2 linked regions of the Cricetulus griseus genome follow. The protein of the gene in region 1 purifies or fractionates together with the protein of each later gene. This does not show direct contact. Links are inferred from orthologs where the notes say so. Each region holds a gene or a part of one and is shown on either strand. Other genes may lie near its edges. The genes, in order: Tead4 and Vgll4.

The links.
Region 2: the proteins of Tead4 (region 1) and Vgll4 purify together in Homo sapiens (co-immunoprecipitation; 5 studies listed by BioGRID and IntAct, counting the BioPlex papers as one, with this or other methods). This does not show direct contact. The link is inferred for Cricetulus griseus from reciprocal best matches to the Homo sapiens genes TEAD4 and VGLL4.

What each region holds. Positions count from the first base shown.
Region 1 is NC_048601.1:18,179,931-18,183,741, reverse strand, and holds part of Tead4 (transcriptional enhancer factor TEF-3), read right to left. Parts: intron 3,581-3,811; coding exon 3,440-3,580; intron 1,751-3,439; coding exon 1,598-1,750; intron 1,493-1,597; coding exon 1,379-1,492; 3' UTR 1-1,378. UniProt on the Homo sapiens protein: Transcription factor which plays a key role in the Hippo signaling pathway, a pathway involved in organ size control and tumor suppression by restricting proliferation and promoting apoptosis.
Region 2 is NC_048601.1:29,949,875-29,953,685, forward strand, and holds part of Vgll4 (transcription cofactor vestigial-like protein 4), read left to right. Parts: intron 1-2,779; exon of another isoform or gene 2,780-2,784; coding exon 2,785-2,974; intron 2,975-3,811. UniProt on the Homo sapiens protein: May act as a specific coactivator for the mammalian TEFs.

The sequences.
Region 1 (3,811 bases):
CGCTCCTATCTGAAGGCCAGCTGCTGTAGGATCACCCCACCACAGTGGGCTTCAATCTGGGCTCCTCAGCGGGAACTGAAGCTCCCACGGTGAGTACCGATGCATATTTATTGAACATGTGGATGTGCTCATTGCTACATGAGGCACTGTATAGACACGAGGTAGGTGGATGCTATACCCATTTTGCAGATGGGAAACTGAGGCACCATAACGTTAACACCCCAGAGGTTGCACATCAAAGTCAGGCTAGACTGATTTCCAGAGCCCTTCGTCCCTCACCTCTGTAACATCCCCTCAATGCTACCCTGCCCATTTCTGCACCCCCACAGATACATCCCTGAGTTCTGGGCACACACACAAACATGCCCAGGTTGGATCTTTCTTCCTGAGGCTCCAGGTTACTAGAAACTGGCTCCAACTGGGGAAGCCTTGAGAAAGCAGCAGAGAGCCAGACCCAGGCCCTCCAGAGGGAGGGAAGCAAGGGGCTGGGGCTGAGGGAGAGATCATTGAACTGGCATGGTACCCAGTCACTATTGTTTTGTTTTTTGAGACAAGGTTTCTCTGTGTAGCCCTGGCTGTCCTTGACCTCACAGAGATTCGCCTGCCTCTGCCTCCCAAGTGCTGGGATTAGAGGTGTGCGCCACCACCACCCGGCATGGCCTAGGCACTTCATAGACATCCTCTCCTCACCAGTGCTGAGCGGAGAGAAAAGTGGACGAACAGAGAAGCCAAGGACTTGAATCAGGACTCCCTACTTCGAAGCCTTGCCTCAATCTGGAGTCATAGCCCCCTGCAGGGCCACTGCAGGGCCACCTGAGTAACTCAGTCTCCAGCCAACAACTTTGTTGAAGCCACACCTAAATCTAGCCCTGTTTGCAGGGGTGGGGCCTTCTGCGGTAGCCATCATCACGGCAGGGCTGACAGTGTACACGGGTCACGCACAGCATCTCTGGGTGTGTGACCTGCATGCCATCTGTCCTCAGGCCACTAGTGTGACCAGCAGCAGAGTGTAGGGTTCCAGCAGCTGAGAAGGGACCACTGGGTCTTGAGCTTTAGCGTCTGGAGATAAACAGCTGGCTGAGTCCACTGGGGTTCTGGCTCCTGGACCATCTGAGAGCATCTCTGGGCTTGCTTCCAGCTTGCTTCCTGGTACCTCCTGGTGCCCCCTTCTCCCCTGCCCTCCTGGGCTCATACAGCCAGACCAGCTCCTCTGAAAATACTCGGCACCTTGGGTTTATTGGGGGGTTGGGCACTGCAAGATCAGGCAGTTTGCTTCTCTGCTCGGCTCTCTTGGCACTTCTGGGGGGCTGGCCCTGAAGGTTCCCTCCCAGGTCCCCATTTCCTGGATCTGTCCCCCCACCATCGTTCTCCAAGTCTCTCATTCTTTCACAAGCCGGTAGATGTGGTGCTGAGCCCCATGTTCGCTGGCTGACACTTCGAAGACGTAGGCAATGCACAGCAAGGTCTCCTGTGTGTCTCGATTGGTGACCACCTGCAAGTGAGACAGAGGTGACGGTCAGAGCCCTGGACTGGGAAGCCAAGGGTGCCACCCACCACCTCCGCACAGACCCCCTGGGCATGCGGCCCCCGGTCACACCTGCAGGATGGTGAAGTTCTCCAGCACACTGTTCATCATGTATTTCTCCGGTAAGTGCTTCAGCTTGTGGATGAAGTTGACCATGTACTCACAGAGCGGGGACCGGTGGATACGGTACAGGTAGCGACCGTTCTCATAGCGCGCATACTCTGTCTGTAGAACCCCAGGGACAGCAGAGGCTTAGCATCCCTTCACCTCTTGCCCAAGCCCAATTTAGCAGGGATGTACAAAAATCCAACACAGCCAATGGGACACAGAGGCAGAAGATGATCCAGGACCAGCGCTATCCTCTGAGGTTTCTAGACATGAAAGCAGACCTTTCCGCTCGGTCACTTCCAGGAGAAGGACATGTAAAGACCCGGAAGGAGCGGCCATGAGATGGGGCAGGTGTGGCAAGTGAGGCTGAGCTGAGGGAGGGAACCCGCATCCGTGTGGTGGAACTGCCTTACGCGTGAAGCTTGGTAGTGGATGCTACCAAGGAGCTGGATAGACAGCACATAGGATGATGGCTGGATAGACACATGAGCACCTCAAAACCTTGATAAGTTTAATGCAAGTAAATAACTGTAGGAGCTTTGTAAAAAACTGCCTTTGCTGGGATAGGACAGCAATTCTGAGCCCTGGAGTCCATCTATAGCACCAAATAGAACAAAAGACCACACACACACATTACACTCCCAAGATTAAGAGAAGTTACATGAGTGGGGCTCAGTGGAGCTAACGTGTATCAAAAGCTTCCTGGCAATGGAACAGCTAGGGTTGGGACCCATGAAGCGAAGGTCGAGATTCCCAGGTGCTGCCTGGCACCTAACTGTTGGACATGAGTTTCTGTCAACCTCAGGTAGAGAGGACACCATCAATTCAGACCCACGTAGGCCAAGAGGTGACCAGCCTGACAGCATGTAGTGTTAAGCACCGCAGTGTCACAGTCTTTAGGACCACACGGACACTGTGACATTTAAGGCCATTTTGTCATTCTCATCACACAGTAAGATCAGAAGGTCACAGTCATTGGGACCAATGGGTGGTGAAGGCAACCTGATACTTCCTTAGAGATCAGTCAGGAGTGTTAACACAACCCCAAGAGGAAGTGGGGGTCGGGGGAGGTGTACAGGGATGAAACCCAAGTCCTTAGCTTGAGAGCTCATTACCAGCCTGCCTGCCTTTGACAGGGTGAATGGGAGTGAGGCAGAGAACTCTGCCCAAGTGTAAGGTCTCCAAGGCACTCCAAAAACCAAAAAGCTGTGTGATACTGGGATGCCTGGCAAGGGGACTCGAAAGACTGTCTCAAAAGGGGTGAGGTGGGGATAAAGGGCTGTATAGCTCAATGGCAGAATACTTGCCGAACATACACCAGGCTCTTAGAAAAACTCAAACACCTGGAGAAACAGGGACTCCACAAGCTTGCAGCATTCGTGGAGTAAAAAGTGAGAGGGGAACAGATCCTGAACATCCGTTCTCACGGCCTATGCATCTAGAGAGCTGTGCAACTGAGAAAGGCCATGCCTATCCCCAGGACCAGCTGTCAAAGACACAGATGGATTAGGGAGAAACCCTTGGGCTAGCCCCTGCTTTGGCCCTGCTCTAGAAGTTGCGGGATGCTTGCAAGGAAGGTGTGAAAGGAATCCTGACCAAAAAATTAGTCAGGGATCGGAGGTGTGGGACAGACAATTAAATCAGTAATTTATTAGATGCCTCATACCCAACCTAAAACACACACTTCCTGAAGGTATGTGGAAGCCACATGGGGCCCCCCTCAGCAATCCTGCCCCCAAGAGAGCTCCAGGGAAAGGGGGCACACAGACCATGCCCTTTGTCTACACCCACTGGATGGCCTCCTACCTCAACTTTCTCCACCACTTGCTTGCCAAAGGAGCAGACCTTGGTAGAACAGGTAATGATCATGTTCTCCAGGCTCTCGTACTGGCTGGAGACCCCATAGAAGGCGTTGCTTTCATCGTCAATGTTGGTATTGAGGTCTGCCTGCCGGAGAAATGGAAGCATACGATTGTTTTCAGGGGTGTCCTTAGAGGTCACAGTGCAGGTTCTTGTGAAGGGACTCTAGCCGGCCTGAGCGTGACAAACATGGCTCTGGCACGCCCCGCCCTCCTCCCCATTCCCTCTGCCTTTCTAAAAGCCATTAGACCATATTCCTAAAGCCAGCCATCAAGGTCCTTTCCCTTATCTGACCACTTCCTCTTCCTACCGCTGACT
Region 2 (3,811 bases), about 12 Mb from region 1:
GCAGTAGCCATTGTCACTGTGTCCAGAAAGTGGAGTCTCAGAGTCCCTCAGGTGCAGAATTTCAGATGAGGCTGTACGCTGGTCTCCTCCTGCCCGTATGTTCCAATGTGCCTTTGATGTGACTGCTCATGACACGGCCGTGTCTTTCTCCTTCCCTGTTCATGCACATTTGTGCATGCAGTGCTAGCGACGGTCCGGGGCCTTGTGTGCCCTAGGGCAGTGCTTAGCCTTCAGCCCTTTCCTTCCTCTTAATTTTTTCCTTAAAATAAATATATGCTGATACTCATGAAACCCTTGGCCAAAAGAAATTTTGCTTATTTTTTAATCGGGGGACAATGTTTAAGGAGTGCTTCTGCTTCTGCCGCGAGTGGAAGTAGCAATTATATAGATTGCATTTGCATGTGGCTGGAGTTTTTCTTTAGGAATAGTGAGTGCTAGGGATGGAACTCGGGGTCTCATGTGTCCTATGCAGGTGCTCTGCCTCCAGCCCCTGCTGAAATCATTCAAACCCTCCTCTGCCACATAGAAGAGTATAGCAATTGAGCTGTTAAATATAAGCATTGCACAGCTTCTCCTGGGTGTGGGAGAGTGGACCAAAAGATGAGCAAAAAGGACCAGTCCGGTCACTATTGAGGATTGTTGCCCTTTAGCTTCAAGTTATGGAGGTGTTGGTCTGATAAGCAGAAGACATGCTTCCTGTCTGCAGCTCACCTGAGCAAACCATTCAATTCACTTCACCCTGGTCAAGTGTTACCTCATCTACCCTCATTTGCAGGGGACTCTGCAGTTCCTTCAGGGTCCTTAGTCCCCACTTCGTTCCTGGAAAATCCTCTGGCTGCCTCTGAAGCTCATTCCTGTGTGAACTTCAAATGGATCAAACACACCATCCTTTAAAGGCTGTCACAGCCTCGAGGCATGGAGCCAGTGCTTTCTCCCCCACTGGGTGACTGGCCTCTCTGTGGGTGACTTCCCAAGTGATGGGGCCTCTCGGTAGCTTCTGTCCTGAGGCCCTATAGCTGCTGTCCTGAATGACTGCTCCTTTTTTGGACCCCTTGGAACTTGTTGCTGTGGTGATTGTTTCCATAGCGATGTCTGTTGCCCCAGCAGGCAGCTGATGAAATGGCTCCTGAAACTCTGGGGTCTGGGCTGAGCCTGTGTCCTCCCCACTCCTTGGCCCCTGCCAGGGGTGTTGGGAAACACTGGGCACAGAGTGTGGACAGTGTAGGCTGTTTTATGTAGGTTGATTTGAAGGGGTAGTAATACTTCCTGGGGTCCCATGGGGTTCTTCGTCTGCTCACCAGAGTCTTAAAGGGACAGCTCTGCTCTATAAAGGAAGAAACAGGGCTGGGGAAGGAGCAAGAGGCAAGGGGGGGGGGGAGCTTGCACCTTCTCAAGGTCTGAGGAAGGACACTGCTTAACTTTGTTTTCTGACACCAAAAGTTAGCAGAAAGGAAACTGAGGCCCACCCAAATCAGCCAGAGTCTATGAGAGTGGCAGGCATGTTCAAGAGTTCCTGTTGAGCTACTCTGTACAATATGGAAAGTTCCAGTTTGCCCTGTGGCCAGAAGCCTTACAAGAAATCCTGCCAGGGGTGTATTACAGGTCACTGTATATTTGCAAGTTTATATCTTGCTTTCTAAACTGGCAGGGTTTTTGTTTTTCCTGGTGGGTACGCAGAAGGCCTTTCCCTCCCTCCTTCCCCCTAACAAAATCGCATTTGTCGCTTGTGACGCCTGTTTGACGGCCACACATTAGTGATGATCTGAAAGGAAGTGAGTGGTCACAAAGGTGGCTTTTCTTGGGTACCACAGTGCCTCAGATGAAGTTGACTTCATGCTAGTATGACTCTTACTTGTGACCGGTGGAAATAAGGTTGGTCAGGCCCCAGAAGCCAATGTGTACTGCCCAACAGAAGGGTTTCTCTGTGTGAAAGTTAGCCTGCCCACTCAAAGTAATTATAACTCTTGTTATAAATTTTAGAAGATACAAACCCCTTAGTATTTGAAAAGCCCTGTTTGTCTTGATTCACAACCAGGCATAAATTTATCTCTCAGCTCAAAGCCCCTGACAACAGCCCAGAAAGTCAGACCTGTCAAAGAAGATCTTTGACGGAGCCCTTGTGAGTGCCTAGCTGTGAAACACATTTTGAGAGTTGCTACTTGGGACTGGAGAGGGCTCAGTGGTTAAGAGTACTTGCTGCTCTTCCAGAGGTCCTGGGTTCTGTTCCCAGCACCCATGTTGGGCAGCTCACAACTGCCTGTAACTCCAACACCAGGGGATTCAACAGCCTATTCTGGCCTCCATGGGCATTGTGTACACATACACACACACACACACACACACACACACACACACACACACTTTTAAAAAATGTAAATATAAACAGCAAAATTAGCCTGTGAACAATGGTTTCATGCACTTTCTTAAAGGTGTAAGGTTGAATTCCTGAGACTCAAAGGACCTTCCTAGTTTTAATTTCCCTTTGGGGATTGCTCACAATCAGTTTTCCCCTCTCGGCTGTTTATAGCAACTTTTCAATTTAAACTCTACCCTAAAGAGTTAGTGCTGGCAAATCTCGTTGTTGTCAAATGTCCCCTGCTTGGCAGTGGCTGTATGCCCAGACCATGTTCTGAGAATGGCAGGCTGCCTGCTGTATTGCCAAAACTTTCCACAGAGAGAAGTTTTGCAAGGGGTGGGCGGGGGGCCAGGGAGCTAGGGGACCTCGGAGACCACAATGGGGGTGCTTTTCTTGCTGGTAATAACATCCCCATTCTCTTTGTGTAGGTGAAGCTTCTCTCAGGGGAGAACCCAGAATGCAGACCCTCCCAGTGGCCTCTGCTCTCAGCAGTCACCGCACAGGCCCACCCCCCATCAGCCCTAGCAAGAGGAAATTCAGCATGGAACCCGGGGACAAGGACCTCGACTGTGAAAATGATCATGTCTCCAAGATGAGCCGTATCTTCAGCCCCCACCTGTAAGTTCTGCCCCTTTGGGCTCATGCTTGCTCTAGGCTGGGCTTTGTTTTCTTTCACCTTTCTGCCCATATTGTCATTACGCTTTCATGAGTTATTGATAAAGGACATTGTTTATAAAAGATAGGTGGTGGTCATATGCCAGGAAGGTGTCAAGCTGACTTTAGTAACTGGTCCAGAGATGAAATCTTACTTCCTTTCAACTCCTACAATTTCTCCCTCTTGGAGGCCAGCAGCCCTTAAGACCTCCTGTGGGCATGGTCTGGAAAACCTGGTTTGGTGCACTCTCCTGGACATTATTCAAATTGATAGTGTTGTCTGTCTTTACACACCCAAGAAACGATGTGAGTACCTATGAAGCCGTGCGTGCGTGCGTGCGTGCGTGCGTGCGTGCGTGTGTCCATCCAGTACTGTGGCCTAGGGAGCACTCCTTTGCACCTGTGGCTGGTCACAGCTGGAATTACCTTGGAGCCATGGTAAGAGAGCCTCTCTTGGTGTCAGGAGACTGTAATTCTGATCCTTGATTGGCATTGGCGTGCTTTAGTGTCCTCTCTGTCCCTCATCCTTCCTTCCTTCCTTCCTTCCTTCCTTCCTTCCTTCCTTCCTTCCTTCCTTCCCTCCTTCCTTCCTTCCTTTCCTGTTAAGATTTTATTTATTTTTATGTGCATTGGTATTGTGCCCGAATGTATGTCAGTATGAAGGTGTCAGATTCACTGGAACTGGAGTTTCAGACAATTGTGAGCTGCCATATGGATGCTGGGAATTGGACCTGGGTCTTCTGAAAGAGCAACCAGTGCTCTTAATTGCTGAGCCATCTCTCCAGCCCATCTCCTAAACCC